2 linked regions of the Caenorhabditis elegans genome follow. The protein of the gene in region 1 purifies or fractionates together with the protein of each later gene. This does not show direct contact. Each region holds a gene or a part of one and is shown on either strand. Other genes may lie near its edges. The genes, in order: sepa-1 and epg-2.

Evidence for each region.
Region 2: the proteins of sepa-1 (region 1) and epg-2 purify together in Caenorhabditis elegans (affinity purification with western blotting, with the first as the bait; one study listed by BioGRID). This does not show direct contact.

Annotation. Positions count from the first base shown.
Region 1 is NC_003279.8:13,291,556-13,306,980, forward strand, and holds sepa-1 (Protein sepa-1), read right to left. Parts: upstream 9,162-15,425; 5' UTR 9,147-9,161; coding exon 7,466-9,146; intron 7,339-7,465; coding exon 6,967-7,338; intron 6,802-6,966; coding exon 6,746-6,801; 3' UTR 6,649-6,745; downstream 1-6,648. Other genes in the region: top-1 (DNA topoisomerase 1), read left to right, coding at 1,071-1,469, 1,974-2,189, 2,680-4,161, 4,211-4,453, 5,232-5,312; T04D3.1 (NTF2 domain-containing protein), read right to left, coding at 11,313-11,416, 11,477-12,737. UniProt on the Caenorhabditis elegans protein: Adapter protein that connects P-granules in somatic cells with the autophagic machinery.
Region 2 is NC_003279.8:2,288,366-2,303,832, forward strand, and holds epg-2 (Ectopic P granules protein 2), read left to right. Parts: upstream 1-11,720; 5' UTR 11,721-11,747; coding exon 11,748-11,804; intron 11,805-12,099; coding exon 12,100-12,201; intron 12,202-12,354; coding exon 12,355-14,268; 3' UTR 14,269-14,432; downstream 14,433-15,467. Other genes in the region: cdk-7 (Cyclin-dependent kinase 7), read right to left, coding at 1,121-1,222, 1,278-1,382; Y39G10AR.11 (TPR_MLP1_2 domain-containing protein), read left to right, coding at 4,852-6,846, 7,865-8,236; tpxl-1 (TPX2 domain-containing protein), read right to left, coding at 9,452-9,554, 14,461-14,609, 14,662-14,748, 14,795-15,467. UniProt on the Caenorhabditis elegans protein: Involved in autophagy. Thought to act as an adapter protein that brings PGL granules to autophagic structures containing lgg-1.

The sequences.
Region 1 (15,425 bases):
TTTCTACAGATTTTGCTGCTGAAATAGGACCAAAATTAAAAAGAACCGATATTCATAAACATTATGTTGGTGTTTTGACTCTAAATCGAGAAAAAAAACTATTTTACCTTTTTTTTCCCTCGAAATCCTGCAATTTCTGCGTATTTTCTCCAATTCTTCAATCATGTTCATTTGTTTTCCACTATTACTTTACAATCCTTCGCCTCTCTTATTATATCGCATCCACTACTTTAACCATACAACAACTAGTTTTACACACTCTTATTCATAATGTCCTCCATCATCGTTCTCACTGGCGGGTCCTACCACGAAAGTTTCACCACACAAAAGTCGATTCTAAAAGACTTGGTGAAATTTCGTGGTGGGACCCGCCGCGGCGTGCGTAAGGTCGTCGTTCCGTTGGCCATTAATATAGCAACTGTGAGCGATAAAAATCTAAAGTTTTATTTATTTTGCTAATTTGTCAAGATTAGAATCTTGAGCTAAGTGAATCAATTTTCTCGGCGAAGTCGATTTTTGAAAAATATATCCGAAAAGGTTCAAATTAAGCCTGAAAAAGTAGATTTTATTACGAGGCAGCTTGAAAATTTCTGAAAATATATATTAAGATCTGAAAAATCGCAAAATTTACGAAAAAAATTAGCAAAAAAATCATGAATTTTAACAAATCGTGAAAAACTTTAACAAAATCGATGAAAATTCCACAATCAACGAGAGTTTTAAATTACAGTACTCTTTAAATGCGCAATTTGTCGGATCCGGGCGCCGTATTTTTTGGCGCAAAATTTAACTTCTATGTAGTAATAAAATTAAAATAATTTTCCAATCGTAACAAGCTCAAGTTTAAGCTAAATTGAATCAATTTTTGAGATATTTTCTTACTATATGTCTCTCTTACCTCTAAATACTCTTTCCTTTTCACAATTTCTTTCAAAATTCCTCATTTAAATGTTTGCAGAGTATCATCTCTCCGACACTCACACACTCCATCTATTTGATTCGACAGCTTCTACGAAGATATCTTATCAATCAAAAGAGCTCTCGTGGATCATCAGAAACTTGCTCAAACGATGAGTGTAGTGTCGAATCATCACTCGAACGGAAACGGCAACTCAACAGTCTACGATACGAACGGAAACGATGAAATCAAAAAAGAGGTGAAAGATGAGCCAATGGCATCAGACAGTGAAGTTCCATTCGGTGAACTGATGAAAAGAGATAAAAAAGAAAAGAAACAAAAGAAGAGGAAAGCTGAAAGTGGATCAGATGAGGATGATTATAAGCCCGAGAAGAGAAAGTCTTCGGCGAAAAATGGGAAAAAGAAGGATGTTGGAAGTGATTCTGAGGATGATTATAAGCCTGAAAAGAAGAAAAGCAAGAAAAATAATAAGAAAAAAGCTCAGGAGAGTAGTGAGGATGATGATGAAGAATCAGAAGGAGATGTTAGTGAAGAGGATGTTAAGCCACAGGTTTGTAGCAATTAATAACATTTTTTCCTCCAAAATAACCTATTTGCACGGGTTTTTGGCGATGAAAATTCACTTTTTTTTTGCTAAATTTCATCCAAATTATGTTTTTCAACACAAAATTTGGTTTTAAAGTTGCTCCACGAAAAAAAATTAGCTAGTTCCCATTTTCTTTGTTGCAGAGAGAATTATTCGCTTTATAAGATTATGTGAACTCAAAACAGTTGAAAAATGCAAGAAATACGTAAAATTCTGCTATTTTTACATTAAAATTGCTGAAATTTAGGTATTTTCTCGCAATTTTGAATTGTTTGGATGTACATATTCCTTGTGAAACCGATGTGAGCAAGAACCAGCATTTCTACAAGATTTTCAATTAGATAGTAATAATATGTGTTAATAAGCATATTTTAGATGGAATTTAGCGAAAAATAACCCTTCTAACCCTACTTTTCTGCACGTCCTTAACATTTCCTTTGTTTCGTTAGTTTTTTTCTGCTTTTTTAGATCCATTCCGACGATGAACTAGAAGAAGAAGACGAAGCTCCGACGACAGATGATGAAGAGGAACAGAAGAGAAAGGAGAAAGAGCGTAGAAAAAAGGAAAAAAGGGAGAAAAAAGAGCGAAAAGAGAAGAAACGACTGGAGAAGGAGAATCGGAAGATTAAGGAAGAGGACGACGAGGATTCGGATGATGAAGATGATGAAAAGGCGAAGAAAAAGGTGTTGTTGATGTGGATTTTCCTGATTTTGCATGCTTTTTCCCGCTTTTTTTTGCACAAAAAACTAATTTGCAAGCTAAAAATGGTGTCGGTTTACGCAGAAATTGTGTACTACACGAGGAAAAGTGTGAATTTAAATTTATTTAGTTTTTTAGCTGAAGTTCTCGGATATTTAGACTTTATGCCAAATTCTTCTGAAAAATTGGGTGTTTAATCATTTTTAGGCTAAAAATCGGAAATTTTACGATTTTTTGCTCAAAAAATTGAACACGATGCCTGCGTAAATCGACATTACATGCTGCTCCGGAAATTTTAATGTAATCGAAAAAATTAAAAGTTAATCCAAAAAAAACCACTTCCGTCTAACCTGAATTACCCACCAGTAATATATTTTCTCAAAAAAAAAATCAAAAACTGTTTTCTAACCTTCTACGAGATACTTTAAATAATTAAATTTGCACGAATCATAATTTTATCATTTATTTTTGCAGAAACGAAAGTCAAAAGGAGCTGAAAAGAGCAAGCCAAGTACATCAAAGAAAGACGCCGGCGGCAAAAAAGAGCCACCAAAGAAGAAAGTGAAGAAAGAGGAGGATATAGAAGATATATGGGAATGGTGGAAAGAGGAAAAGAAGCCTGCAGGTGTTAAATGGAATTCCCTTCAACACTGTGGACCACTATTCGCTCCACCATACATTCCACTTCCATCTCATGTTCATTTCAAATATGGTGGAGAGAAGATGAAGCTGACTCTTGAAACGGAAGAAATTGCTCAATTTTATGCTGGTGTACTGGATCACGAGTATTCGACAAAAGAGGCTTTCAACAAGAATTTTATGAAAGATTGGAGAAAAGTGATGACTGTCGAGGAACGTGAACGTATACATGATCTGAAAAAGTGCGATTTTCGAGCTATCGATGCTTATCAAAAAGAGCAACGGGAAATTCGCAAAGCGATGACTAAAGAGGAAAAGTTGAAGATTAAAGAGGAGAAGGAAGCGGAAGTGAAGATTTATGGAATTGCAATAATTGATGGTCATCGGCAAAAGGTTGCAAATTTCCGAATTGAACCTCCAGGAGTGTTCCGTGGAAGAGGTGGACATCCGAAGATGGGTCTTATCAAGAAGCGTATCATGCCAGAGGATGTCATCATAAATTGCGGAAAAGACACTGAAATTCCAAAACCACCACCTGGGCACAAATGGAAAGAAGTGAGACATGACAATACTGTTACGTGGCTGTGCTCTTGGACTGAAAGTGTGCTCGGACAGAATAAGTACATTATGCTTAATCCATCTTCAAAGATTAAAGGAGAAAAGGACTTTGAAAAGTACGAAACAGCGCGGCGACTTAAAAAGAAGATTGGTGGAATTCGTGAGCGGTATACTGACGATTTTAAGTCGAAGGAGATGAGAGTTCGACAACGTGCTACGGCTTTGTATTTTATTGATAAGTTGGCTCTTCGTGCTGGAAATGAGAAGGATGTAGATGAAGCTGCTGATACTGTTGGTTGTTGCTCACTTCGTGTTGAGCACATTAAGCTCTTCGATTCGGCGAAACTGAATGAAGATGATAAGAAGGAAAAGGAGTTTGTTGTGGAATTCGATTTTCTTGGAAAGGATTCGATTCGTTATTTCAATCGAGTTTCTGTTGAGAAGCGAGTCTACAAGAATTTGAAGATATTCATGGAGGGAAAAGCTCCGAGTGATGATCTTTTCGATCGTCTCGACACTGCAACACTCAATGATCATTTGAGAAGTTTGATGGATGGTTTGACGGTAAAAGTGTTCCGTACCTATAATGCTTCGATCACACTTCAAGAGCAACTGATAAAGCTGACGAATCCCAAGGACAATGTGGCGGCAAAAATTCTGTCATACAATCGTGCTAATCGGCAGGTTGCGATCCTTTGTAACCATCAACGTGCCGTTTCGAAGGGATTCGATGAGTCGATGCAAAAGTTGGAGCAAAAGGTTGCGAAAAAAATATGAAATTTATTCACTAATCTCGTTTTTTTTCCAGATCAAGGACAAAAAGAAGGAGGTGAAGGAAGCCGAAGCCGCGCTGAAGTCTGCTCGCGGAGCAGAAAAGGAGAAGGCCCAGAAGAAGTACGACAGACTGAAGGAGCAGTTGAAAAAGTTGAAAATCTCAAGAACTGATAAGGATGAGAACAAACAGATCGCGTTGGGTACTTCGAAACTCAATTATATTGATCCTCGGATCACTGTCGCCTGGTGCAAGAAGTTTGAGGTTCCGTTGGAGAAGGTGAGAGATAGTTTCGGAGAAATGAATTCACGGGGGAAAATGGACAAACTGTGTCGATTTACGCAGCTCGTGTACTCCACGAGGAAGAGTGTGGCTACACAGTTTTTGTCGAAAATACTTCGTTTTGGAACATAAATTAGGCATTGAAAACTGCAAAATTTATCCAAAAACTGAATGCACACTCTCCTCGTAGAGTATATGACCTCCGTAAATCGACACAATGTCGTGTTTTTGAAGAGATGCGGTATTTTGTGATTTTTTCGTCAAAAATACTGTCCAAACAGTACCATTTGTCGATTTACGCTGCTCGTGTACTCCTCGAGGAAAACCAATGATTTTTGGTGGATCAACATTCAAATCATCAGTTTATCAATTTTTATGACGTTTCTCTGAGAAAATCAATCATAAAAACGCCAAATTCCACCTGAAATTGAATAAATTCGATAAAAATGGAGATTTGAATGTGGAATGCAGAAATAATTGGCGAAAATTGTCTAAAATGAAGCATTGTTTTCCTCTAGGAGTACACGAGATTAATGAGGAGAAGCGCTCCTTAAAATATGCACAATTCCCTGTAGTACACAGTACTAAAACACTTTTTTCCGAAATTTTTTATCAAAAAACAGAAAAATGTTAAATTTTTCGGGAAAAAAAACCCGAAAGATCATATAAATGAGGAAAAATAAGAAGACAAATGGTCAAAATTCAAATTTTATTTTTCGATAAATTCAGAAAAACCGACACTCTAGATCCCCATTAAAATCGATTTTATTTCCAGGTCTTCACCAAAACTCACCGTGAGAAATTCCGTTGGGCCATCGACATGACAAACTCGTCGGATGAGGAATACGTCTTCTAGAAGTCAATTTAGTCGTTTTTTTTCTTTTTTCTGCACTTTTTTCCTTAATTTCTGATCCATTTTCTCTTTCTTTTTTTGTTTTTTCTCGGACTCTCGACTGTGATTGTTACACACACCTTTGTTAATCATTTCGTTTATTTTTTTTTTTTCTTTTTTTTTCTGAAAAATCTTTAACCTTCACCAACAAACCCAACAAAAAAAATCAAATTTTCTATTCCAATTATTCATCACTAATAATTTATTATTCCTCTTATTTCTCCATTTCAATCAAATATCTCTAAATATCTTGAAATTTCCAAGTTTCTATAGTTATTTGCTCTTCATGTCTAACGTTTTCTTTCTCCCCACTCTTCTAGTACATGTAATCCATTCTATCATCTCAAAAAAAAAGAATCCTAAGATTTTTTTAGAATTACCTTCTTATTTTGCTCCAATTGCTCTAAAATATCGTGTGTAGCCTCCTTTTGGGTATGTTCAGACTGGAAATTAGCTATTTTCAGCCTTAAAATGCCCCAATTTCGTCTTTTTTTCTTCATTACCCACATGATTAGTCCCAAGAATTCTCGTCCCTCTTTCTCTCGCTTTCTTGTTTTTTTCTGTTTTATTTAAAAATCGCATACACATCGACTGATTCAAGAATTTAATTTTGATTTCATGAAAATTATGATAATAAACGTTGCATTTTCAGAAATTGTTTTTTTTTTGGTTGCAGTTTTTGATTTCATAAGTGTGAGAGGGCGAAATGCTGACTTAAAATGCTGACATGACATAAATAAAAAAGTCTGAAATAAAAAACAAAAACGTAAGCCCAATGCGGGGCTCGAACCCGCGACAACCAGATTAAGAGTCTGGTGCTCTACCGACTGAGCTAACCGGGCGCCAATCTCACCCGCTGCAAAGGTTGTATAGAAGCAGACGCACGCAGTGTCAGTTTTATAGTCCCGTACGCGCGCCCACATTTTGTCGGTACACGCGTTAAGTGGCCTTCTCGTCATTTTCTATCAAATTTGGTTTTAACCCAGTTACCAAGGTAATTCGGAGTTTCGATCTTTCGAAAGAGAGTGTCGATTGTGAACAATTTTTGGAATAGCTCTTCCGGGGAATCCGGTCGGGCAATATTTTAAAAGGATTATTATTGTGAAGGTGATTCCGATCAGGGCTGGGATTATTTAAAAAACGAACATGAAAGTTTTTTTTTAAAAGATGAAAAACGAAAAAGTTAGTTTTGCAAATTTACAACTGGAATTACGATTTTTTAGTTACATGTTTCTTCAAGGTTTCATTGTTCCGAAAATGATTCGCCCAACGCCAAATTCGGGTGCAATTAAAAGAAAAATACTTATCAATTTAATATTTATTTGGGATAAAGCACGCATTCATTACAGGATATAAGCAAAAGCAAGAGATATAAAAGAAAATGAATGTGAACTGATTTAGTTTTTCTCGTGATTTTTGGCAAGTTCATCGGAGCTTTGTGTTGGTTGTTGGTCTGAAAATAAATATCGATATTTGAAGCATTAATCTTAAAATTCTTAAAATGGGAATAACAGGAGTTGAGACATTTTTGTCAGTTTAGGCTAGCCTTCAATTATTTCAAATTTTTTTAAAATTATTAAAAGCAAATTATCATATTAAAAAATTAATAGCAACTTACGGTTATGTTCAGTGGCTCGTTGGTCTTTTTTTAAAGTTTTCTTGAGAATCTGGTCAACTGTTAATTGCATCAAACGATAGTATTCATCTCGGTCATTCGATGCTTCCAAAATCTCCGTTTCACATTTTCTGGCATTGGCGATCAACTTTTTAAACAGTTCACCATTCATCTCTTCTACATTCTGGATTCTTGGCCAGAACGCTTTCAACAATTTTCCAACCATGTGATTTCGGATGTCTTCAACGATCCATTCCTTTGATGTGTTTGTCCCGAACAAGAAAGAACCATTGTACCCTTCAAATATATCAATTTTAGGTGTTTCTTCGTTTGAGATTTGATTAGTGTTCTCGGCCAGAGCAGGTGAAGCAGGTGCTGAAAATTTTCAAAGGTTTAGGTGATTTTTGTACTTTCACAGTAAGCCTACAGTACCCCTTAACCTATTTCCAAAAGAAATACGGGTAATAGCTACAGAAATAAAGTTTTTGAAAAGCATACATACCTTCAACTTGAGCAGCTTCTTCCGAAGGCACTGAGCTTGAGACGACTTGTTTCTTTCCGGCTCTTTCCATTCTTCGTTTCTCCAACTCGTCAATTTGAGCATTAATTTTGTTCAGCCGACTCTTGAGCTCTCTCCGCTTTTTCTTCTTGTCCATTGCTGCAACATCCGGCTCATAGGTGACATTCTTCACAGGCTCTGGTTCGTTGGCGTCCTGATGCTTCGATTCTGCTTCTTTTTCCAATAAGCCCTCAGACATCGTATCGTCCAATTCCTGATACCCATATGTATTTCCACCTTCAGAAGCAGCTGTAGTCGGCTCTTCGGGATCCTTCGCAATTTGGAGCTTCTCGAGATTCTTCACTATATTCTCTTCCGTCTCAGCTGATTCCACTCTAGGCGCCTTTCTGGGAATCTCTTGATCCTGTGTCAATCCAAGTTCCTTTCTCAAGTCACAATTAAAAGATTCAACCATCGCTAACACGGTTTCCATTATATCTTCGCCCTCCGTCTGAACTGGATGTTGTGGCTCGACTCGCTCCGTGCTAGCCTTCTTCTTTTCGAATTCAGTTTTCATCTCAACCCATTGAACTTGGAATGTTTTCACCGCAACTGGCTGCATCTTCTCGAAGCCTCCACTTCCAGATGTTTCTTTCTGAAGTCTTCCATCACGACCTCTCATGATCATATACACCTTGCGATTGTCTATATTTTCCGCCATAAACAAGTTCAGCCCACTGGTGATCTTTTTCGGATCATAAACTAGATTGCGTTTAACTTGAACGAATCCAAATGTACGGACATCATAGATGTACTGCTCGATTTGATTATTCTCGGTGTTATGAACATGAATCACCAATTCGGATGCATTACGCTCCACATACAATGGAATAAGGTTCGATTCGGTGACTTCACATGTGCAAAGAGTGCAGGAAATCTTCTGGAAGTCGCCTGTTTCGTCAATGTACTCGAGTCTTGTGTAATCCCCGCTAGTCTTTGAATAGACGCATAGAAATTCTTTGTTCAAATGCAGACATTGACGAACTTGGAATCGTGGGAGATTCTTCTGATACTCTGCGTAGAGTCTATCAAAGCTCTCATTACCTGATGAAATCTTGACTTCATCAGAATTCGCGGCTCTATCCCACCTATCACGTTCCAGATCTTGAAGCGTCAGAGTCCTTAAAGCAGCTGTTGGAAGAGTTCGGAACTGTCCATAACTTGTAGATTCCTTACTGAGAAGACCACGGCAATCTCTTTCAATCACGACCAGCTCGCCTTCAGGACCATTTAGAGCAACCACAACGTTTCCTTTAACAAGAAACGCCGGATTGTACTTAATCTCGGGACGATTCACTTCAACAAAGCAATCCGTCTTGAAAGCGTAGATAAACTGCTCCATCTTCCCGGTCATTGTATTATACCCGAAGAGCACGAAATCTTCGAGTAGGTCACTGTAGACAGCGTAGTACGGAGAAATGTGCTTCTCGGTGAGAATTGGTTGGCATATGAGGCATTTGTGAGGGATCAAATCACCAGCATCCGTTTTCTCATAGCAAAAGCGTTGTCTGTTTGGGCGAAGAACACTGACCACGTGGATAGCAGTGGCAGGGCACTTTCCGAGTGCAAACTTCGGTGGAGGTGAAGGCGCTGGATTGGAGGTAAGAGCAGAAAGAGGTGTCATCTTGGAGATTTTTCTGGAATTAAGGTGTAGTTAGATTAAGAATAATTGAAAACGTATACAAATGCAATAAAAAAGTGATAAGTGAAATTACCAGGCGCGATTAAAAATAGGAGTTTAAAGGAAATTTAGAAGTATAAGAACCACTGCAAAAAATCAAAAATGAAAAAGTAGTGAGCAAAAAGTGTTGTAGGAGTTAATACAAAACGACGAGTGCAACAGGACATATAAACGTATCAAGTAAAGTTTATCGATTGGTAAATGCTCCCGCCAACTCCGCGTACAGAACACCTGGGAATAAGCAATCAATACAGATTGTTGTATAATACTAGGCGGGAAGATGCACAAATTTTGTGGGCTAGAATTTAGGTAAGGCTACTGCTAGGGCTGAAAATTAAATAAAATGAATCGAAAATATGAATCTCGTAAATCCACAAGTGCGGTACGGTTTTTATGGGCGATGCCTTTTCTGACGAAAATTTCGGCGTTAAATAGGATTTTGGGATTTTAATAAATTAATATAAAATCACGGAAATTTTTTATATTTTTTTCACATCGATATTTGGTATCAGGGGCATAAATAGCGTCTTTAGTCCTCCTTTGTGTTAAAATCAAGTTTTGAATAAAACCATCAAAGTACAACTGATATTTTTTGTCCAATTTTTGGTAAAACCACAAGTAACTACAAGATACACTTTTAGAAAAGGGAACTACGGACATATCAATTTCAAGAATACATCATATTTGAAAAAGGCAAAAAGGAAACAAATACTGTAGTTCATAGCCGAGAACAAAAAAATGGAAACAGGAGCTCTAGAGACTGACTAGAGAAAAGAAAAACGACCTACTAGAGGCGATGCAGGCAGACTGAATGATGTCTTCTGCTCTTCAAGACAACTCAGAGCATCTGGAGCAAACGCTGCAACCAATTTAAATCGATACTCAGCTCTTGGGATACCAGATTCGGGAAAGAGGTGGGAATTGGCAGATGTTTTTATCGACTGATGTAAGATTGAGACGACTACCAGGAGAAGATCTACAAACGAATGTAGTATATTGATGGTTTTTAACAAAATTTCTGGGAACTGATTTTACAGATATGGTAAATCTCAACATGTTACGGCTGCTGATCTAATAGAAAGAATTATCGGCAATCTGAACAGAAAAGTATCCAAGATATGGGCGGAGCATGAACTGAATATGGCACCGCCCATATCTTGGCTACATGTACTTCTCACATTTCTTCATAAATTTCTCCTATACTCCCATTATTAAGACAAAGCAAGGTCAGCTTAAATTCCCAGACACTGAGCAAGGACGCGATCCACCTGAGAGTAATTCGACCAGGGGTGGACGGCAAATGATTTTTTGCCGGAATTTGCAAATTGGCGGAAATGAAAATTTCCGGCAAATCGGCAAATTGCCGGAATTGAAAAGTTCCGGCAAATCAGCAAACCGGCAAATTGACGCTTTGCCAAATTTGCCAGAAAAACGGGCAAATTGTGGTTTTGCACATTTTTTTTGGAAATTTCAGAATTTCGATTTCACTCAGCAGACTTTTACGCATCCTATGAATGTTCCTACATCTATTTTTAAAAATAAGCAAACTCTATGAATATATCTAAAGAAAACGGAATAAAATTTCAAAAAGGCACAGTTTTAAGTGCTTCTGTCATATAAAAAGCCCCTCTAAACACTTCCGGCAATTGGCAAACCGGCAAACCTCCGGAATTGAAAACTTCCGGCAAATCGGTAAACCGGCAAATTGCCGGAATTCAAAACTTCCGGCAAATCGGCATCTTGCCGCTTTGCCGAGTTTGTCGACAAAAAAATTTGCCGAACGGCAATTGCCGCCCACCCTTGAATTGGACTACAAATGTGGACAGAAGATTCATAGAATCAGAGAAAATTACATCCATTTGCCGGATTTCTTTTGGAAACGTGCCCCATTTTAATTTGCCTCAAAGAGAACCTGGCAATCCCATTCTAAAAGACTATGACGTCAAGCAAGATTTTCAGCAATGATTTTTTTCCCGCCGTTTCTAAAGGCACACAAATTTACAGTTGTCTTTTATTTATGGAACATCGGGAAGAAAAATGAGACCGCAAGACAAAATAAAATAAAAAAATATGCAATTTAACAAAAAAAACTAATTTTAATCCAAATCCTCAAATCTGTTCCAATTCCTTCTGAACATATGGTGGCAACGATCCGCCGTAGAGAGTTGTCAGGCTTTCCACGAATTTTTGTTTGAGAATTGACATGCCATCGTCTGAAATGAGTATATTTTTAGAAAAATGAATAATAGTATGGATTAAGTGTTAAGGGTTACCTGGGGCATCCTCCGGAATATCTGGAGAAGTTGAGCAAGATGGGCCATCAGAAAACGGATCATCACAAAGACGGATCTTCTCGACCAAGACATCCAACTCTTGAGATTCTTTGGATGCCTTCTTCTTGGACTTCTTGATCTTTTTGGCCTTCTTCTTCTTGTCCATCTTCTGCTTCTTCTCCATAAACTGAGTATCAAAACTCTTGATCACCGAATTGGGAACCTCCACGAAATGTTTTTTGATCGAGCAATATACCTCCTTCTTCAGTCTTCCTTGTGCACCCCTCATGATCACTGTTGTCCCTTTGAGAACGAAGAAGATGCTCGAAGTCGGATCCTGATCCTTCGATGAGTCATACTTCAGCTCTGGCTGATTCACTTCAACAAATCCCTGAATCTTCGAGTCGAAGACATATTGCTCCATGCGATCTGTGAAGGAGTTGAAGACGTGAATCACATAAGCCTGAATCTCTTCGCAAAACTCTGCATACTTGGGGAGAAGATCCACTTCTCTGGTTGTATCCGGACACTTCTCACAGTCGAGGATCTCGAATTGACTGGTGCTCTGATTGTATATGTACTTTTCATAATGACCACGGCTGGTGATAATGTAGAGAACGTACATCTGAAAGTCTTGGCAGAATGTGGTTTTAAATGCTGGAAGTGTTTCATTGTAGTCAAGATGTTCAGAACTGAGGGAGTCGTTGTCAGACCATGGATCCGCGTCATCAAATTCTTCGGCGGCCAAGAGTTGAACCTCAACTTTTGGCATTTCCACGCACTTCCCAAGTCTGTACTCCAACTTCCGAACTGCTTCGTTTCCTCCACGCTCGATCAGAACTTTCTTTCCATCAGAGTTCTCAATCATCACAATAAAACTTGATTCCGTGAATTTTTCAGCCGAGTAAACCAACTCCGGATAGTCGACCTGCTGGAAGCCACCAGTCTCGAACGAGTAGACATACTGCTCCACCTCTTGCGTAACCTCATTTCTCATAAAAATCACACTTCCCGAGGCATACATCGGTGACAGGTGATCTTCGAGGATCTTCACTGCACAACTGGAGCATCTGTGTGGAATGAACTTCCTGATTTTTAGGTCGAAGATGAACACATTGTAGGTTCCATTTTGACGGGGTCCACCAATGATGGGAATCTCCATGATCGGGCAGAGTTTCATGAGGATCCGTGGAGTTGTTGGAGGAGACATTGGAACTTGGCGCTGAGTTGGAACAGCACATGGATATGCAATGAATGACATGACAAGTAGAGATGATGATCTGGAATTTTGGAATTATAAGGATTTCAAAAAAAAAAGAAAAAGAACGTCAGAACTGGCAATGAAAAGAAAAATTTATATATTATTTCAAAGTAAAGTTTGTTGGGTGCACTAGAGGACAGTAAGTAAGTGAAAACCCAGCTCAAGATTAGCAGAATTTCAGATTCCCAGGCGACAATTGTTTTAGTTTTGAACAGTTTTTTATATATTTCTCGTCCAGAAAATTAAGAACTTGCGCAGGAATTCCAATTTCAACCGACTTTAAAGATCCGTTCTCTAACAGTTTAAAACGAAACTTTCAAGTATTTTTTCTTGAAACAGTAAGTTCTTAAAAAAGTGAAAAAAATTAAACTTAAATATTCTAGAAAAACGCTTTCGAGGAACTTCTAGAACTAGCATAATTTTCAGAATGATAAGTTGCGCGCGCAAGGTCACATAGATTTGACTACCCCGTTCCCACATCAGCCAACGGATTAAAAATCAGTAGATCAAAGTTTTACGAGTGTTCTTTTGACATTTTTTGGCACCTAAAAATTAGGTCAATTTATTAGCCTAGCGGAATGGAGTACCGAAACAGTCTAAAGGCGCAGGATTACTTTTGAAAAAAAAAAGATTAATTGCAGAACCATTTTTGAAGTGAAAACTACAAATTGGAATAATTTAATAAAAATGGCTCTTATAGAGGAGAAAAGGGAAAATTCATAAACTTACAATTCGAAAAAAAAGAATTGGATAAAATAAAGAAAATGAAAATGAGAGAACAGGAAGAAGAGACCGACAGTCTACTGCATAATGACCTTTTGAGCAAGGCCCGCGAACATTTACGACCACCGTCTGCCCGTCTGCGTCGTGCATCTCTCGTACAGGCTATCCGTGTTTTGTTGTAGATCGACTGGGAGAGACAGTGTTTGTGTATGCTATAAATCTGTAAAGAAACATCTCTGACCAAACGAAGGATTATAGAAAAAAACAAACCTAGAAAAAAACAAACCTAGAAACCTTCTCAGGACAGTCCTTGTGTAGGAGGACTGCCTCTTATGGGGACTTTGATGTGATGTGCTCCAAGTGATAACATTATTAAATTAAACCTGTGAGAATTCGATGAAAAATTTTCTTCTATGTTTGATATTTCATTTGCTTTGTTCAAAAAATTGAGATGAGACAAGTTTTATGCGTATTGTTTTAGTGCAGAAACAACATAACTTTTTAGCGTCTTGTTCTTGAGTTTCAGAAAAAAACCGGCAGAAGCAACTTCTACTCGACTTCAGCTACACAAAAGACGATTCAAGGAGGGTCAAAATGTTTGTTAATCATAGAACCTTCCAGGAGTCGACAGAAAAAACACGGGGAATGGTAACTAGCAACTGAATGAGCACGGAAAAATTATTATGTTATACCTACAATGCCTATAGTTAATTGGAAGTTTGAGCACAAATACTGCATTTTAAAATAGTTTTTCCCTTCTTTATTACGGAAATTTGTAAGACCATTATTTTATATGCAAATCCGTTAATATTTTCAAGCCTATGAAGCAGTCTTTAAGGTTTCAAATACCGTATTTCCTCTATTAGTATTGCACCCGACTACTTAACTTTGAAACGTTATATCTCGGTTCATTTTAAAGATATCAATATATTATTAGTTACAAAATTATAGAAAAAGAGCTAATAAATATTTTGTTAGTTGACAATTTTTGAATAAGGCAAACGATAACTGAGATATAAGCTTTCAAAGTTGATGTGAAATTTAACATTTTCTATTCCATTCTTTCCTTGTCAATAAATCCAAAATAATTGGAAAAAAACCTCATGAAACAGCAGCAAGATCCATTTTTTGACCAAAGTACCCTAGTTTCAGATCGATATACCACTGTAATGGTCAACAATCGATCGGAATGTCAATTGACAAACAGATGCGTACACCTAAACTCCGCCCAATTGTCGTAGTTGCTCTGTCAGATCGACAGTACACATTTCTTATTCATTCATTCATTCATTCATTGTACCAGCACACGAAGAGGTTGCTCTTTTCTGATTTTGTTTCATGTTTGTTGCCAGTTACCGTCTTGGTAATTTATGATTTTTTTTGTGATTTTTCAAAAAAGAAGTCGTTTTTAATTGTCTATCAAACCTTTTTGAACTCAAAACTCCTATCAAAATGCAAAGAAAATAACTTTTAGGGCAGAAAACCCTCTGAAAAACAGTACATCGTACATTGACAATACTTTTTGCTCACTTTGTTCCATCCTTCATAATCATGTTTAATTCACTATCCTCAAATTTTGCTGTAATTTTTTCTGCCAACTCTTGGGAAATTCCGTGAATTTCAAACATTCAGAGTCTCTTTATGTACACTATTATCGGAAATTGAAAAGTGAGCAAAAAGGGTTGTCGATTTGCTGGTCCCTCCAGGTCCATGAAATGTCTCAAAATTGCCACAAAACGGACAAATATCATGCCGATACTTTAAAAAGCCCGGAATTTTTCACAAAACGTTACAAAACGTATGTCTTTTGGGAAGTTCAAAACGTCTGAAATCGTTCAAAAAATGTAGAGTTTCTTGAATTTCACAATTAACATTCCTTCAATTTTCCTGCAAATTTCTTGCCCTCATGTCCACTGTGAGTGGTTGAAAAAATCAAAAATCCCTTAAAAAAGCATTCCTACAATC
Region 2 (15,467 bases), about 11 Mb from region 1:
TTTTGAACAAAAATCGCAAAATTTGGGATTTTTAATACCAAAAATCGAATTTTTGTTTCAAAAAAAAATTTCTTCAAAAACTTCAAATATTAAATCCGCTTTTACACATAAGCGAAAATTTGTGATTTTTGCTCCAAAATTACGGTACCTGGTCTCGACACAACAACTGTTTGTTACCCAAATTGAAAAAGGTGTGCGCCTTTAAAGAGTACTGTAGCTTCAAACTTTCGTTTCTGCTGGATTTTTATCGGATTTTTACATAGTTTTTTCGATAAAAATATATTTATTTATTTTTAAAAAAATTATTTTTCTTCTAAATAAATAAATACAATTTTTATCGAAAAAACTATGTAAAAATCCGATGAAAATCCAGCAGAAACGAAAGTTTGAAGCTACAGTACTCTTTAAAGGCGCACGAATTTTCGAATTTAACAAAAAATTGTCGTGTCGAGACCAGGTTGGAACAAAAATCACAAAATTTCGCGTATGTGTAATGATATTTTACAGCTAACAATTGATGGAAAATTTGACAAAAAAAAATCCGTTTTTTCTCGGCTAATTTTTACAGATTTTTAAAAAATTTGGTCTGAAAATTTCAAATTTTAACTCAAAATTTTCCTGTTTTCAGTGAAAATTTCCACAAAAGTTTGAAGATACAGTACTCTAACTTTAAAGGCACACACCTTTTCGCATTTAACAAAAAAATTGTCGTGTCGAGACCTGGTACCGTAATTTTGGAGCAAAAATCACAATTTTTCGGGTATGTGTAATATTTTTGCAATTAACAATAAAAGTGCATGGAAAATTTGCCAAAAAATCGGTTTTCTCAGTTATTTTTTTACAGATTTTTAAGGAATTTTAAGATTTCGCCATCTTTTGGCCATCTTTTTCTGAAATTTTCAAATTTAAATTCAAAATTTCCCAATTTCCAGTAAAAACACGTATTTTTAGAGTAAAAATCACAATGTTTCGCGTATGTGTAATATTCTTCACTAAATTTTCACTTTTGTTGGAAAATTTGCCAAAAAATCGGTTTTCTCAGTTAATTTTCACAGATTTTTTTTTTAATTTGGGCTTCTAGGCCTGAAAATTTCAAATTTGAATCCAAAAATTTCCAAACCCCGATAATATTGTCATGATGAATTTCCTTCAAAAGTTTAATCTCTCGAATCGCCGTTCGATTGATTCCATCTTTTGCTTCTTCTCTCGATCCTAGTTTGATCTACAAATTTACGCGGTTTTTTTTTCATTTTTTCAGCGGAAAAATGTATAAATACTTTTTTAATAGCCACACATTCGCCCGATTCGAGGTCTTGTGCGAGATAAACGTTGGCGAATTGTCCTTCTCCAAGATGCTTTATTGTATCGTAACGTCTACTCATTTTGGGCTGAAATTTGAAAAATTGGAAAAAAATCACATGTTTTTGGAGATTTTTGAACAAAAATAGCGAAAAAACATAAAAATTCAAGTTTTCCGTCAATTTTCGACTTTTTTTTAGGAAATAACTGAAAAAATGTCAAGTTACGGCAAAAATGTGCAGCTTCTAGCCTATTTTTTAGGAAATTTCCTAGAAAAATCAGTTTTTAATCGAATTTTCACCTTTTAAAACCTGACTAAAAATTCTTTTTTTCACCTGACTAAAAATTCTTTTTTCACCTGACTAAAAATTATCCTCTAAAACAATCGGTTTTTAATCGGATTTTCACCTTTTTTGACTAAAAATTACACTGAAATTTAATAAAACTCTGTGGAATTTTTGCCATGCAGTTTTATCAAGATTCAGTGTAATTTTCAGTAGAAAAAGGTGAAAATTCGATTAAAAACCGAAATTTTACAGTTTTTTTTTTGGGAAAACTCCTCAGAAACGGCCCATTTTTGACAAGTTTTTTTCGGCAAATTCGGTAACTTGCCGGAAATTTTCTATTCTGGCAATTTGCCGATTTGCCGGAAACTTTTAGAGGGATTTTTTTATAAGACGGAAACACCATTTGCTGAAAATTTTTGGCAACCACCGTTTTTTCCGGCAAATTCTGCATGTGCCGGAAATTTTCACTTTTCATTCTCGGCAAAATTCGTCCAATTGCCGGTTTGCCGGAAATTTTCTGTTTCGGCAAATTGCCGATTTTCCGGAACATTTTAGTGGGATTTTTTCATAAGACGGAAACACAATTTGCCGTTGATTTTTGGTAATTGCCGTCTTTTCGGCAAGTTTTGCAATTGCCGGAAATTTTTCATTCCGGCAATTTGGGAAATTGCCGGAAATTTGCCGATCAAAATTGAAATTTCTAGAAGGGAATGTGCAAAACCACACTTTGCCGAAAATTTTTGGCAATTGCCGTTTACCGGTTTGCCGGAAATTTTCCATTCCGGCAATTTGCCGATTTGGCAGAAATTTTAATTTTCGGCAAATTGCCGGCTTGCCGGAAATTTCAAATTCGACAATTTGCCGGAAATATTCAATTCCAGCAAAATGCCGACTTTCCTGAAATTTCAAATCCGGCAATTTGCCGACGTGCCGGAAATTTCAAATTCGGCAGTTTGCCGGTTTGCCGGAAATTTTCAATTACGGAAATTTGCCGACTTGCCGGAAAAACGTTTGCCTCTTTCCCAGAATTGCCGATTTTTGCTCAAAAACCTGCCAAAGGTCCAAAATTTGTTGAATCTACAGCAAACATACTTCAAATAATCGAAAACTTCGCGATTCTGAGCGTTATGAGCCAACTTTCACTGTGCAATGAATAGGAACGACTACTTGCAAAGAATGGGTTCAAAGTACACACTTTCGAAAAAATGCGTCTACCACCCCTTAGCAACCGCGCTCCATTGGACGTTCATGGAGAGACGAGACAAGTCAGCAGACCCCCCAAGCACACAACACGACAAAAATACAAAAGAGACGCAGACGCGGCACCCAAGCTTTTGCTTGTTGTTTCGCATTTTTCTCTGTTTTCTCGTGATGATGTTGTTTTGGAAGCTGGTTTTTTTGTTCAGTGTGATCTCTCGTCACATAAGAAACCAAGTTTTTTTCTTTCATTTCAAAATGAAATTGAAATTAGAAAAATTTGAATTTTCCAATTTATTCCAACAAAAAGAGTACTTGAACTTTTTGATAGATAAGATTAAATGCACATTATAACATATCGTATGTATAATTTTCCATTCATTGTCTTCGTTTATCAGTTCAATTTTTGCCGGTTTTTCACATTTGACATGTGCTGTTCACGTGAAAAGATGAGATGCAACGCCTATGGAATTTGATTACATCAGCCAATAGAGATTGCCGCTTGGCAAGGATATTTTCCGGCAAATTTGGCAATTTGCCGGTTTGCCGGAATTTTTCAGTTCTGACAATTTGCCGATATTTTGCCGGAAATTTCAATTCCGGCAATTTTCCGATTTGCCGGAATTTGTCATTTTCGGCAAATTGTCGATTTGCCAGAAATTTCAATTCCGGCAAATTGTCGGTTAGCTGATTCGGAATTTTTCATTTTCGGTAAATTGCCGATTTTTTGCCAGAAATTCCGATTCCGGCAATTTGTCGGTTTGCTCCGATTCCGACAAATCATTGTCGGAATTTTTCAATTCCGTCAATTTGCCGATTTTTGTCTGAAATTTTCAATTTGTCAATTCTGGAAGCTTGCCAATTTGCCGGAATTTGTCATTTTTGGCAAATTGCCGATTTGCCAGAAATTTCTATTCCGGCAATTTGCCGATTTGCCGGAATTTGTCATTTTCGGCAAACTGCCGATTTGCCAGAAATTTCTATTCCGGCAATTTGCCAATTTGCCGGAATTTGTCATTTTTGGCAAATTGCCGATTTGACAGAAATTTCTATTCCGACAATTTGCCGGAAATTTCAATTCCTCCAATCTGCCGATTTTTTGCCAGAAATTTCAATTCCGGCAATTTGCCGGTTTGCCGATTTGTCGGAATTTTTCAATTCCGGCAATGTGCCGATTTGCCAGAAATTGTAATTCCGGCATTTTGCCGGTTTGTCGATTTGTCGGAATTTTTCAATTCTGGCATTTTGCCAATTTGCCGGAACTTTTCAATTCCGGCGATTTGCCGCTTACCCCTGAGAAAATCTTGGCCATTCTTCAGCAATTTTTGCCGATTTTTCGAGTAACGAAAACTCTATGGGGGCTCCGGCATTTTGCCTATTTACCGGAAATTTTCAATTCCGGCAATTGGATTCCACCCAGACAGCTCCACAACAGGAAAACCTTTCGGCAAACGTTGGAAAAAAAAACTATTCATTGAAGTAGTTGGATTATCAAAAAGTTGAATAATCGTACTTCAAAAGCCCTCAGACTTCGGCCAAACTGTAGTTGTTTCCCAAACTATTACAGTTTTCCAATTTCCAATTTCCCGTTCAATTGTTATCTCTTCCCGGTTTCCTGCTCACTTTTCCAACAATTCTACAGATTCCATCTCGGTCCCCCGGACGATAGAAATCTATAGTATTTTCCGACGAGTGTTCTCCAATCTATAGTGTGCACAGCAGAGAACGTTCGAAGGGTGTAGCGAGAGAATAGAGAGAATAAAGAGACGGAAAGAGACCAGGACACCTTCCGTGGACCCCCGCCACACTTCTCTATCGATTTCTATTTGGGTGTCTGCGTATTCGTGTGCGTACGCACGTGACTCTTATGCTTCTTCTTGCCCCTTACTTGCCTATTTCTCTTTTCTTCTCAACTTTTTTTTTCTTTTTTCCTTTTTTCCTTTTTCCCAAGCTTCCATCATTTACGAACTTCCCCTATTTCAGGTAGAAAACTCAACGCTTCACACTCTTTACACTGCCCCGTCTCCTTGGCAGTTGAAGAGCATCATCCTATCCGCAGATCTCCAAAATGTCTCAGCAGCAGGAACTTCCCACCTATCAGCAGACTAGCAGCTCACTTGAGCGTCGAGTGACCGAGCTTCAGGATGAGAATAAGAGTCTTCGACTGACGTTGGCTCTTCGCACTGACTGTGAGCACGAGCTAGAACGAGTTCGCAATGAGACGCATCCGGGAGTTGAGGAGCTCGAGAAGAAGCTCGCCAGTGCTGAGAACGAGATTCGAGTCATGGAATCTACGAATAAGGAATTGATGGCGACGTTGGCTACAACTCGTGATCAGCTCGGGAAGATGCTTCGCGAACGGAATCAGTTGGTGAAGGACGTCGATGAGTTGCACGAGGAAATTGAGAAAATGGAGAGCCTCTACAATAAGCCGGCCGACTACGCCTCAAACAGTTATACCGACAACATGAAGTTGATGCTTGACGAGCTGAACGATCAGTGTCGTAAGTGGGAAACTGAGAAGGCCAAGTTGACCGAGCACTTCAAAGAGGCTGAAACTCAGCTCAGAAGAGAGAATGTTAAGCTAGAGGCTCAGAAGGAGGATATCTTGAACCATACGAAGAACTCTGAGAAGATGTGGAACGAACGTCTTGAGAACATCACCGCCGACTTTGAACGACTCAAATCTTCATCGAAACCAAGTGGAATTCGTGCCGACCAGAAAATGTTCCAGGAGAATGAGATGAAGATTCAGGAATTGAACAGAAAACTCAAAGATGCTCTTGAAGCTATTGAGGAAATTGAAGACGCCAATTCGGCTCTCCGCGTTGATCTCGAAAGAAGAGGAGTCGAGAAGTGCAAGATGGAAGAAGAGCTCAACTTCCACAAGGGCTTCTTGATCGCCGAGCAACAGAGCTTTCTCTTAGACTGTGCCAACTTCGAGAACCAAATTGCCAACCTCAATAAGGAGATGACAGAGCTGGAGGAGCTCCGTGACGCCTACAAGCAACAGATCGGCGAAATCACCGAGAAACACGCCCAGCAAACGATGACATTCTCGAATGAGAAGGCCAAGTTCTGTCATGCCATGGAGCGCGTCGAGGAGAAATGGAATGCTGAATGTGTCAAACTTCGTGATGAAATTGGTGGATTGCAGAAAATGTTGTTCCAATCAACCAAGGAAACGATGGACAAGCGGGAGATTTTCGACGAGGAATCTCGTGAATGTCGCCGCAAAATCGACGAGCTCGAGGGCCTGTTGGCAACGCAACAAGCAGCGGCGCAACGACAGATTACTCGACTCCTGGCCGAGATTGATGATCTCAATGTCCAATTGAGTGATACCAAATCAGTCCAGGCGAACGCAGTGAAGGAGTGGGATGTCGAGTGTGCTGAGCTGGAAGAGGAGATCTACGAGTTGATCGGCAAACGGAAGACTGAAGGAAAAAAGTTGAGAACCATGCAGAGAAAGAATACCTGGCTTACCGCGTCGATTAGACGGCTCTCCGAGCAACGCCGTGAAGAGCTTGCTGCCAAGAAAGATGAGATTTTAAAGCTTAATAGTCTCTGTGAGCTTCAACGTATGGAAAAAGTCGAGTGGCTCAGTGACTTGAAGAAGGATGTGAATGCATGGAAGAATGAAACTTCCGTCCGAATCGAATTGAAACAGAAGATCACAGATCTTGAGGAGCAAAACGAAGGTCTCGAGGAGAAGGTCGAGAACGTGCTTGCCCAGTACAGAAGCGAGTGCGAACTGTACCAGAACAGTGTATCAAGCCTTCAAATGGATCGTGACAGGCTCAGAAAAGATGTTGATTTGTACAAAGGAAAGGCCGAGATACTGTTCACAAAGTTCGGAGATCTCGTCAAAACCAACGACGAATTGGAGAAGAAGGCGCATCAGAAGATGCTGGAGGCAGACAACTTGCGGAAGACAGTCGAGTTCTCGAACATGGAAATGACAAATGTGAAAGCGCTCATGGCGATGGAGCGGGAGCAAATCCTCGAAGAACGACACTCAACGGTTAGAGATCTTGAGGAGAAGCTCAAAAATTTGACAATGGTAAGTGCTTTTTTTTTTGCTTTTTGAACACACACACACGTGGTGCCAAGCTGTCCCATTACGGATTGATCTACAAAAAATGTGGGAATTGTTTCCCAAAAAAAAGTGACGTCAGCACGTTCTTAACCATGTGTCAGTTGAGAAGTCTGCGTCTCAACTCCCGCATTTTTTGTAGATCTACGTAGATCAAACCGAAATGGGACACTCTGACAGCGTGGTTTGATCTTCGAGAAATGCGGGAGAAGAGACGCAGACTTTTCAACTGATTTCGCATGGCTCACGCTCTCGTTAAAGCCGAATAATTATTAGAGCGCGCTTCGCATTTCTGCATCCGCGGTATTTTGACTTTCCACTGAAAAAAGCAGATATTTCAGATTTATCGAATTTTTATCTTTAAAAATTTTTTTCTGCATTTTTCGAACAAACCTTTTGTTAAACAGTTAAAATCGAATTTAAAATGACTAAAATGAACTTTTTTCGTCCACTGGTTGTGAAATGGTTTGAATTTGAAGAAATCAACGGGATTTTTCTTATTTTCTAAATATTTTTCTATTAAAAATCGGTTTTAATACATTTGTGACTTAACATTAGGGTCAAAAAATGGTTTAAAACCGATTTTTAATAGAAATATATTTAGAAAATAAGAAAAATCCCGTTGATTTCTTCAAATTCAAACCATTTCACAACCAGTGGACGAAAAAAGTTCAAAAGTATCATTTTAAATTCGATTTTCACTGTTTAACAAAAGGTTTGTTCGTAAAATGCAGAAAAAAAAATTTTAAAAGCTAAAAATTCGATAAATCTGAAATATCTGCTTTTTTCAGTGGAAAGTCAAAATGCCACGGATGCAGAAACGCCAAGCGCAGCAAGCGCGCTCTAATAATTATTCGGCCTTGAGGAGAGCGTGTGGCTAAGTGTTTGATGACGTCACATTTTACTGGGAGAAAAATTCCCGCATTTTTTGTAGATCAAACCGCAACGATTGCTTCAAAATCTCTAATTTTCTTCTCTCTTCCAGACCTCATCTATCAACAAAAATCTTCTCGCCGAGGCACGTCGTTCGATCGCCCGGCTCACCGAAGATGCCAAAGAACAATCCGAGGCTCAAGAGTTCGATCGTCTACGCTGGAACGATCAGGTAGATCAACTGAAGGAAGTCAACGAGGAGCTCAAGAAGAATCTGGGCGTCGAGGTGTTGGAATCATCCGATGATTCGGATTGTTCCAGTGACTCCTCGAGTGATTCGGACTGCTCATCGGATTCTTCTGATTCTGAAGAAGATGAAGAGTACCGTGATATGCCAAAACTGAAAGACGAGACAACCGCCGAGAACTCGTGGGAGCTGGTTGGAGAGGAGGAGGAAGAAGCAGAGCAGCAGCAGAATAACTGATAAAATGTAAATAAATGCACAAATTGAATGTAATTACAAATGTGTGTACCAGAGGTGGGCGGATATTTTTTCGGATATTTTCTAATAATGAATTTATCAATAAGTATTGATGTAGTTATTCTGGAAGAAATGTATCCAAACCAAAGAGTAACTATTAAGCAACATTTTAATATGATAAAACCTAGAAAAATTCAACAAGTTTTCCTTACCGAGACCTTAAAACTTATTAGCCGAGCAACATCGGATTTTACGGATATCGGATAATGGACTTGCATATCGTTTATACAGAAAATTTGTAGAATTTTTCTAGGTTTTATCATATTAAAATGTTGCTTAATAGTTACTCTTTTGTTCGGATACATTTCTTCCACAATAACTACATCAATACTTATTGATAAATTCATTATTAGAAAATATCCGAAAAAAATATCCGCCCACCTCTGGTGTGTACCAACTTCTATAGTCGTACTGATCGCAAATTAGTTTTTTATTGTTTCAAAAACATGTACAATTGTACAATTTCCCCCTTTTATTCCCCCCCCCAATCAAAAAATTTCATTTCCTTCTTATTTTTTTGTTTTGTGAATTTTAAAAAATTCAAAAATTTGTAGTCCCCCTCCAAAAACCCCTCTGATTCTCACCGCCGAATATTTTTCCTAATTTCTTTTCGCTTTTTTTTTCTCTTTTTTCCCTAAAATTTCAAGATAAACGATGATTTCAATTCAAATAACAAACTTGGCTCAGAAGAAACCTTTCGCAAAATTCAGACAAAAAGAGGGAAATCTACAAGAAATGTTCATTGCGGGCGGGCGGGCGGGCGGGCGGGTGGAGGAGACACAACAATAAGGATGTGAATTTCACTGGATTGAATGATAAAGAAAAGGTATAATAATAATAAGAATAAATCTGTGTGTGTGTGTGTGGGCTTCCGGTTTTTTTTGTAAACATGTGTGTGTGGGGGCCGGTCTATTATACAGAATTAGTCAGAAATAATGAACACTAGTAGATCAGTGCGCGCGCGCGAAAAGGTGAACGGGAAAAGATAGCTCAACAAAAACTATGGATATGAAGAAGAGAAAAAATACGGTATAAGGGGGTGGGATGAGACAAAAAAATCAATGAGAATCATCATAAATATTTTTTTTAAAATTAATTTTCGCGGTGAAGATGAAGCTGGTCCCATTGGAATACGACAACGATCATATGTACATTCGTTTACTGCTTCGATTGTGGAGTAGAAGCTGCTGCTGGTGGCTTCTGAGTCGAACGATCCTTTGATGGAGCACGAATTCCGTGAAGACCTCCGGCAGATGGCATTCTGGAAAATTTTTAATTAGTAATTAGTAAATTTGAAAAAAGAATTGTTTAGAATATTTTGGTATTTTTTTTCCAAATTTTTTACAATTAGCATTGCCAATCTTAAAAGTTCAAAAATGTATGCTTTTTATTCGAAATTATTTTTTGTACCAGATCAGGGGTGGGTGGCAATTGGTTTGTCGTCAAATTAGGCAATTTGCCGGTTTGTCGAAAAAATCTTTTCACAACTCTAGGTTTTCATGTAGGCACAAAATGCCTACTAGGTGCCAATCGAATGCCAATCGAAAAATTGCCGGAATGAAAATTTCTGGAAAATCGGCACATTGCCGTCATATCGACAACTTGCCGAAAACGAAAATTTTCGGGAAATCGGCGAACCGGAAATTTGTCGGAATTGTGTTTTCGTTTTCGATTTTCAGAAAAATAGCATTTTTTGCAAAAATGGCTCAAGTTTTAGCCATTTTTTTTTAGAAAAGATGTTGTTTTCTGATATTTTTCTTCCGTCATTAGTAACAAAACTTGATGAAAAATTGAATTTTATCATTACATCTCTATAGATTTTTAAAAAACTTTCTATGAAAAAAATCGAAGAATCTTATCTACTCCAGCCAGTCATTTTAGACTATATTTTTATCATTTTAAGACAACAAAAATAATTTTACAATTCTAGGTTTTCATGTAGTCAGATAAATGTTTCATCGCCTATCGATAGGCATCTTCGAGGCATATTATGCCTGCCTTGTAGGCACCTAATTTTGCCCTACAAAACTACTGATTACATTCCTTATTAGCTCGAAATCCTATAACTTTTCCTAACTTCCCACTTTTAAGGGTGGTGTAGTCGAATTTTTTTTATTGCTTTATCAGGCTCATAATTGTCTGAAAACACCGAATTTCATAATGAAACTTCTTGAAAACTTTTCAGAAAAAAGTTATGACGGCTCAAAAAATGGCCTAAAATTAGTTAAAATCGGAAATTTGACCAACTTATCAATGTCGCAGCAGCTGGAAACAATTTTTTTTTGAAATCACCGCCAAATTTTGAGTATACAAGTTAATTATCTTACGTTTTAAACTTGATTAAGGTATTAAAAAATCTTTGATTTTTAATTTTTTTAACCAAAACTCGCCGTCCATCGATTTTTAAATACTCGTTTAAAACGCGAGGTAATCGACTTGTATACTCAAAATTTGGCGGTAATATCAAAAAAAATTATTTCCAGCCACTGCGACATTGACAAGTCGGTCAAATTTCCGATTTTAACTAATTTTAGGCCATTTTTAGAGCCGTCATAACTTTTTTCTGAAAAGTTTTCAAGAAGTTTCATTGTGAAACTCGGTGTTTTGAGAGAATATCGAGTCTAATAAGACAATAAAAAAATTCGACTACACCACCTTTAAAATTTGAATTTCTGTAATGTAATGCTCTAAATCTTCCAGATTGTCATATATATCCATTGTTTTCTCGACATCAAAGACCACCAAAAAGTCATTCAATACTATTTCCACTTCACCTGTTCACCCCTTCCCCAATCTTAACATCATCTTCTGACCCTTAACGTGACCCCGACTTTCCCAAATCTCCCTCTTCTGCTCACACAACGCTATTTCCAGAGAGCAAACACAGAGCAGCCCCGCCCTAGTGGCGCATCTAACCAAACGCGCAGTCCTCCACAACTATCCACATTGTAACCTTGGCCTGTACATTACATCAGTCGGACCATTCTCTCTCTCTCGCTTTTTACCGTGGCCCATCTCTCGGTGGCTAGACGCTGCCAATATGCAGAGAGCAAGAGAGCGCAGAGCATTATGCAGAGGCTGTCTCTTTTGCTCTCGTCGAGCTATCCAAACCGTTGCCATTTCTCCCTCTTTCACTCCCCGAGACCACCCATATCTCTCGTCTCTCTCTCTCTCTCTCTTTTTCACTCTCTTTCATATTATTCATTCCTCTCTTCTCGGGTTCTTCATTCAATTCTCAGTCATTAGCTACTACCACACAATGCCTAACAACTGAATTATATATTCTACCTGATCGCCGTTTTCCTCTCACAGCCTCGCAAGCTTTCTTTCTCCTTCTTCGAATATTTTTTATGGTGACCTTGTCATTCGTCTCACTATTAATTTTTGTGTGTGTAACACATCTCTCAATAATCGATATTTTTTGCAGATCTCAATTTCAACAGCTTTCAAAAGAATGAGTGCCAACAGAACTGTCACAGTTTTTTCATCGTCAGCAGAGGATCAAGAGCCGGTAAGTATTTGAGCTGTTCTAGATTCTGTTGAGACACAAAAAATCCATTTTCACACGTGGTGCCAGAGTCTGTCTCATCACGGTTTGATCTACAAAAAACGCGGGAATTTTTTGCACAAAAATATGTTCTTAACCATGCGAAATCAGTTGAGAACTCTGTGTCTCTTCTCCCGCATTTTTTTGTAGATTTATGTAGATCAAGCCGAAATGAGACACTCTGACACCACGTGTTTTCAATGAATTCTGGAGTTTTGAAAATAGTTGAATGTGCCATGAACAAGTGTTTATATTTTAGATCGAATTGGCTGAAGACTCACTTCAAAACTTGGACAAAATGCTGGCTGAGGAAAAAGAAGAACACCAGTTGTTGAAGGACGAAGTTGTGCTTCTCAGAAAGGTGAGCAACTTATTCAATTCACTATTTAGAGAATTGAGAAAATCAATTCAATTAATGAAATTAATTAACTTAATATAACTAATAATAGAATTAATGGAACTTAATTAATTAGTAAATTGCAATTTTTCAAGCTATAAACCTATTATTTTTCAGGAAAACGTGGAAGCCAAGACCTACTCCACATTATTGGAGATCATGCTTGACGAAGCCGAAGAAAAAGCATCGTCCGCTCAAGAAACGACCTCCGAAGAAAACAATCTCAAAATTTTGAACCGAGATCTTGTGGCCGAAAACTTGGAATTGAAAGAGATGAAAGAGGAGCTCAGAAAGATCTGGTTGAGCGACTCGAAAAAATTTCAAGAAGCTCTTACGCGGATCTCAGATGAGAATACAAAACTTCAAAAAGATTGTCACGAGTTGGAATCGATTCGGCAATGTGCCCAGTTTGCATTGGATAACTGTAACGAGGAGCTCGAGAAAACCCAAACGGAAAACGAAGAGCACGAGAGCCGCATTGAGACGCTGGAACGTGAAGTTTGTGAAAAAGATATTGCCATGAAAGATATTGTTGAGCGGAAAGACGAGATTTCGCTTCAACTGGAATTGCAGACAAAGGAGTTCACATCTGCATTGAATGATCTGATGTATGGAAGAGAAGACACCTTGAAGCAGATCCATCAAATGAAGGAAAACTGGAAGGTCAAGCAGAATGAATTTGAAGTTGAAATTACAAAGTTGAAGAGTCAAAATGACTACTTTGACTCTGAACGATTGCAATTGACTGACCGAATTAGAGCTTTGCTCAACGAGTTGTCCGATGTTCGCCTGGAACTTGGCTCTACTCGTTTGGCAATGAAGGAAAAAGCTGAAGTTACAGAAGCGGTGACCAGTTTCAACAAAGATCTTCGCGATAAGTTGGAAGATGAAATTGCAAGACTCGGTGAATGCTTACAGTTCAGAAAGGACGAACACGAACAGGATGAAGCAGTCATTGCTCATCTTGAAGAACAACTCAAACTTGGCAGTGATAAAGCTGCTGCGTTTTCCAGCGAGCACAGTGACACGATTGAGTTGCTCCGTGAGTCTGAAACCGAACTGATGGAGCTCAGAATGGAGAATTACGATCTGAAGGAGGACTTCAAAATTTTGAAGGAGGAGAAAGAAGATGTCAATCGCACATGTGAATGTCTCCGCGAACAATTGAGCACAACAATTCAGGAGCGGGACATCGAAAAAGGCCAGATGCAGAGTGAGATGGATGCAAAAATGGTTGCTGTGCATCAACAGTACGCCAAGCAAATTGATAATATGAAGTACAATCATATGTTGGCAATTAATCAGGAGTTGATCAAAGGACAAATGGCTCTGGAATCTGGGAAGAAGAAGCACGCCAATGAGATTTTGACGGTACGAAACGAACTAGAGCAATCCAATGCTGCTCATCAAAGCTTGAGAGACCAGTGCAGTTTGCTTTTGAGCTCCGAAGATGATCTCAGAACCGCACATTTGGCTTTAGAAAGCAAAATGACTCTCGTTTCTGAAGAATGTATTGCACTCAGAGTGTCTCGAGCTAATGCTCAGAAAGAAATTGGAAATTTGACTGAACATCACAAACTTGAAGTAGCACTCTTGGAAGATGCGAAATCCGGAATCCAACAACGTCTCCATTACGCCACTATTGAAATCGAGCAGCTAAAAAAGATCAATGAGGTTACTCAAGCCCAGTTTAAGAAGGAAACAGATGAGAAAAATGCCGAGATTAACGAATTCCAAGCTGCAATGGTATCAATGAAACAGCAATACAATGTTCTTGGCAATCATTGTCGCGTTCTGACATCTCAAGGAATCTCGGATCGTACCACAATTGACAAACTCCAGGAAACCATTCGCGAGCACACAGAACTTGCAATCGAAACGAAGAGAATTCACGATGCAGAGATTGTTCAGTTGAATGATGCTCATAAGAAGTTGGTGGATAATTTGGGAGTTGAAGAACTCGACGAGGAGCCGAAAGCATCAACGGAATCGGAAGAGAAGGCTGAATGGGAGATGGTCGACGAAGAATAACAATTTTGATTAATTTCTTGTTCGTTTTTGTTTCTAAATTGCACACTTTACTGTACATTGCAAATTGTTTTTGTCTTTCATGCCCGCCTAAATTGTTCTCAATTTGTTATTACAATTTTTTCTGTTTAAATAATCAATTTTTCCTTTTTTGAAGAATTTTGAGTTCAATAAATCCATCGTTTCTTCTCATACCCTTTGTAGGAGCTGTACACATATGATGGCACAGGGCGCACAGCAGATTTTCGGATACTCGACGCTGGGCCCTCGTGTGAAGTCCTCGTTGGCGTAGCAGTAACCTTTGGTGTGGCAAGTCTGTTGAAAAGGTCAGCACGGGAGGCTTTCTGTAAATTCAAAAAATATATATATAGAAAAAAAAACGTTGCACAAATGTACCCCTGGAGTGGAAGCCGAAATTGGAGGTTGGCCAGAACGGTCCACTGACCGAGCTCGAGTCGGCGGCTGGCGTTGTACGGATGAAGCCTGGAAATTCGATTTATTAAACAATTAGGCAAATTTTTTAAATTACCACTGGTGGTTTCTTGATCGTTGTGCTCGGAGTTCCCGGGTTGACTCGAAGCGGCTGCCGGTTACGAGCTGCTCCACCAGCTGGAACAGCAGGACGTGAAGCCGCTTTATTCTGTTGAGCATCAGCAGGAGCCGGAGCCGGAACAGTTGGCTTCACAACATTCATTCGAAGAATCGATGAGCGATTGGCTGTTGCAATCGGACGAATCTTCGGCGTCAATTTGCTCACCGACGTCGGCGCTGTTGCCTTGTTCGCCGATGCCGAACGCCGCGGTGGAGCAATTGGAGTGGTGTTTGCTGCAGCAGCAGCAGGCTTATTGGGGAAAACACTTCGACGAGAAGCCGTTGTATTGGTACGGCGTGTACGGTCACGGGATCTGTCACCTCCTGCAGTAGCAGCATCCGATTTTACTGCGGCAACCGGCGTTTTCTGAGCCACTTTGAGAGGCATAACACTTCGACGAACACTTGTTTTGGTGACATTTTCAGCGACACGAGCAGCCATCGCACGAGTAATGACACCTGGTCCGGTATTTGCAATTGGCGCGGAGATGGTGCGAGTGACAGAATTGTGAGGTGGACGTGGCACAGATGGTGCTCGTGGAGCTGCTGCAGCTGGCTCACGCGACATTGAACGTTTCGTGCTGATCGAGCGAGAACGAGTTCCGGACGCT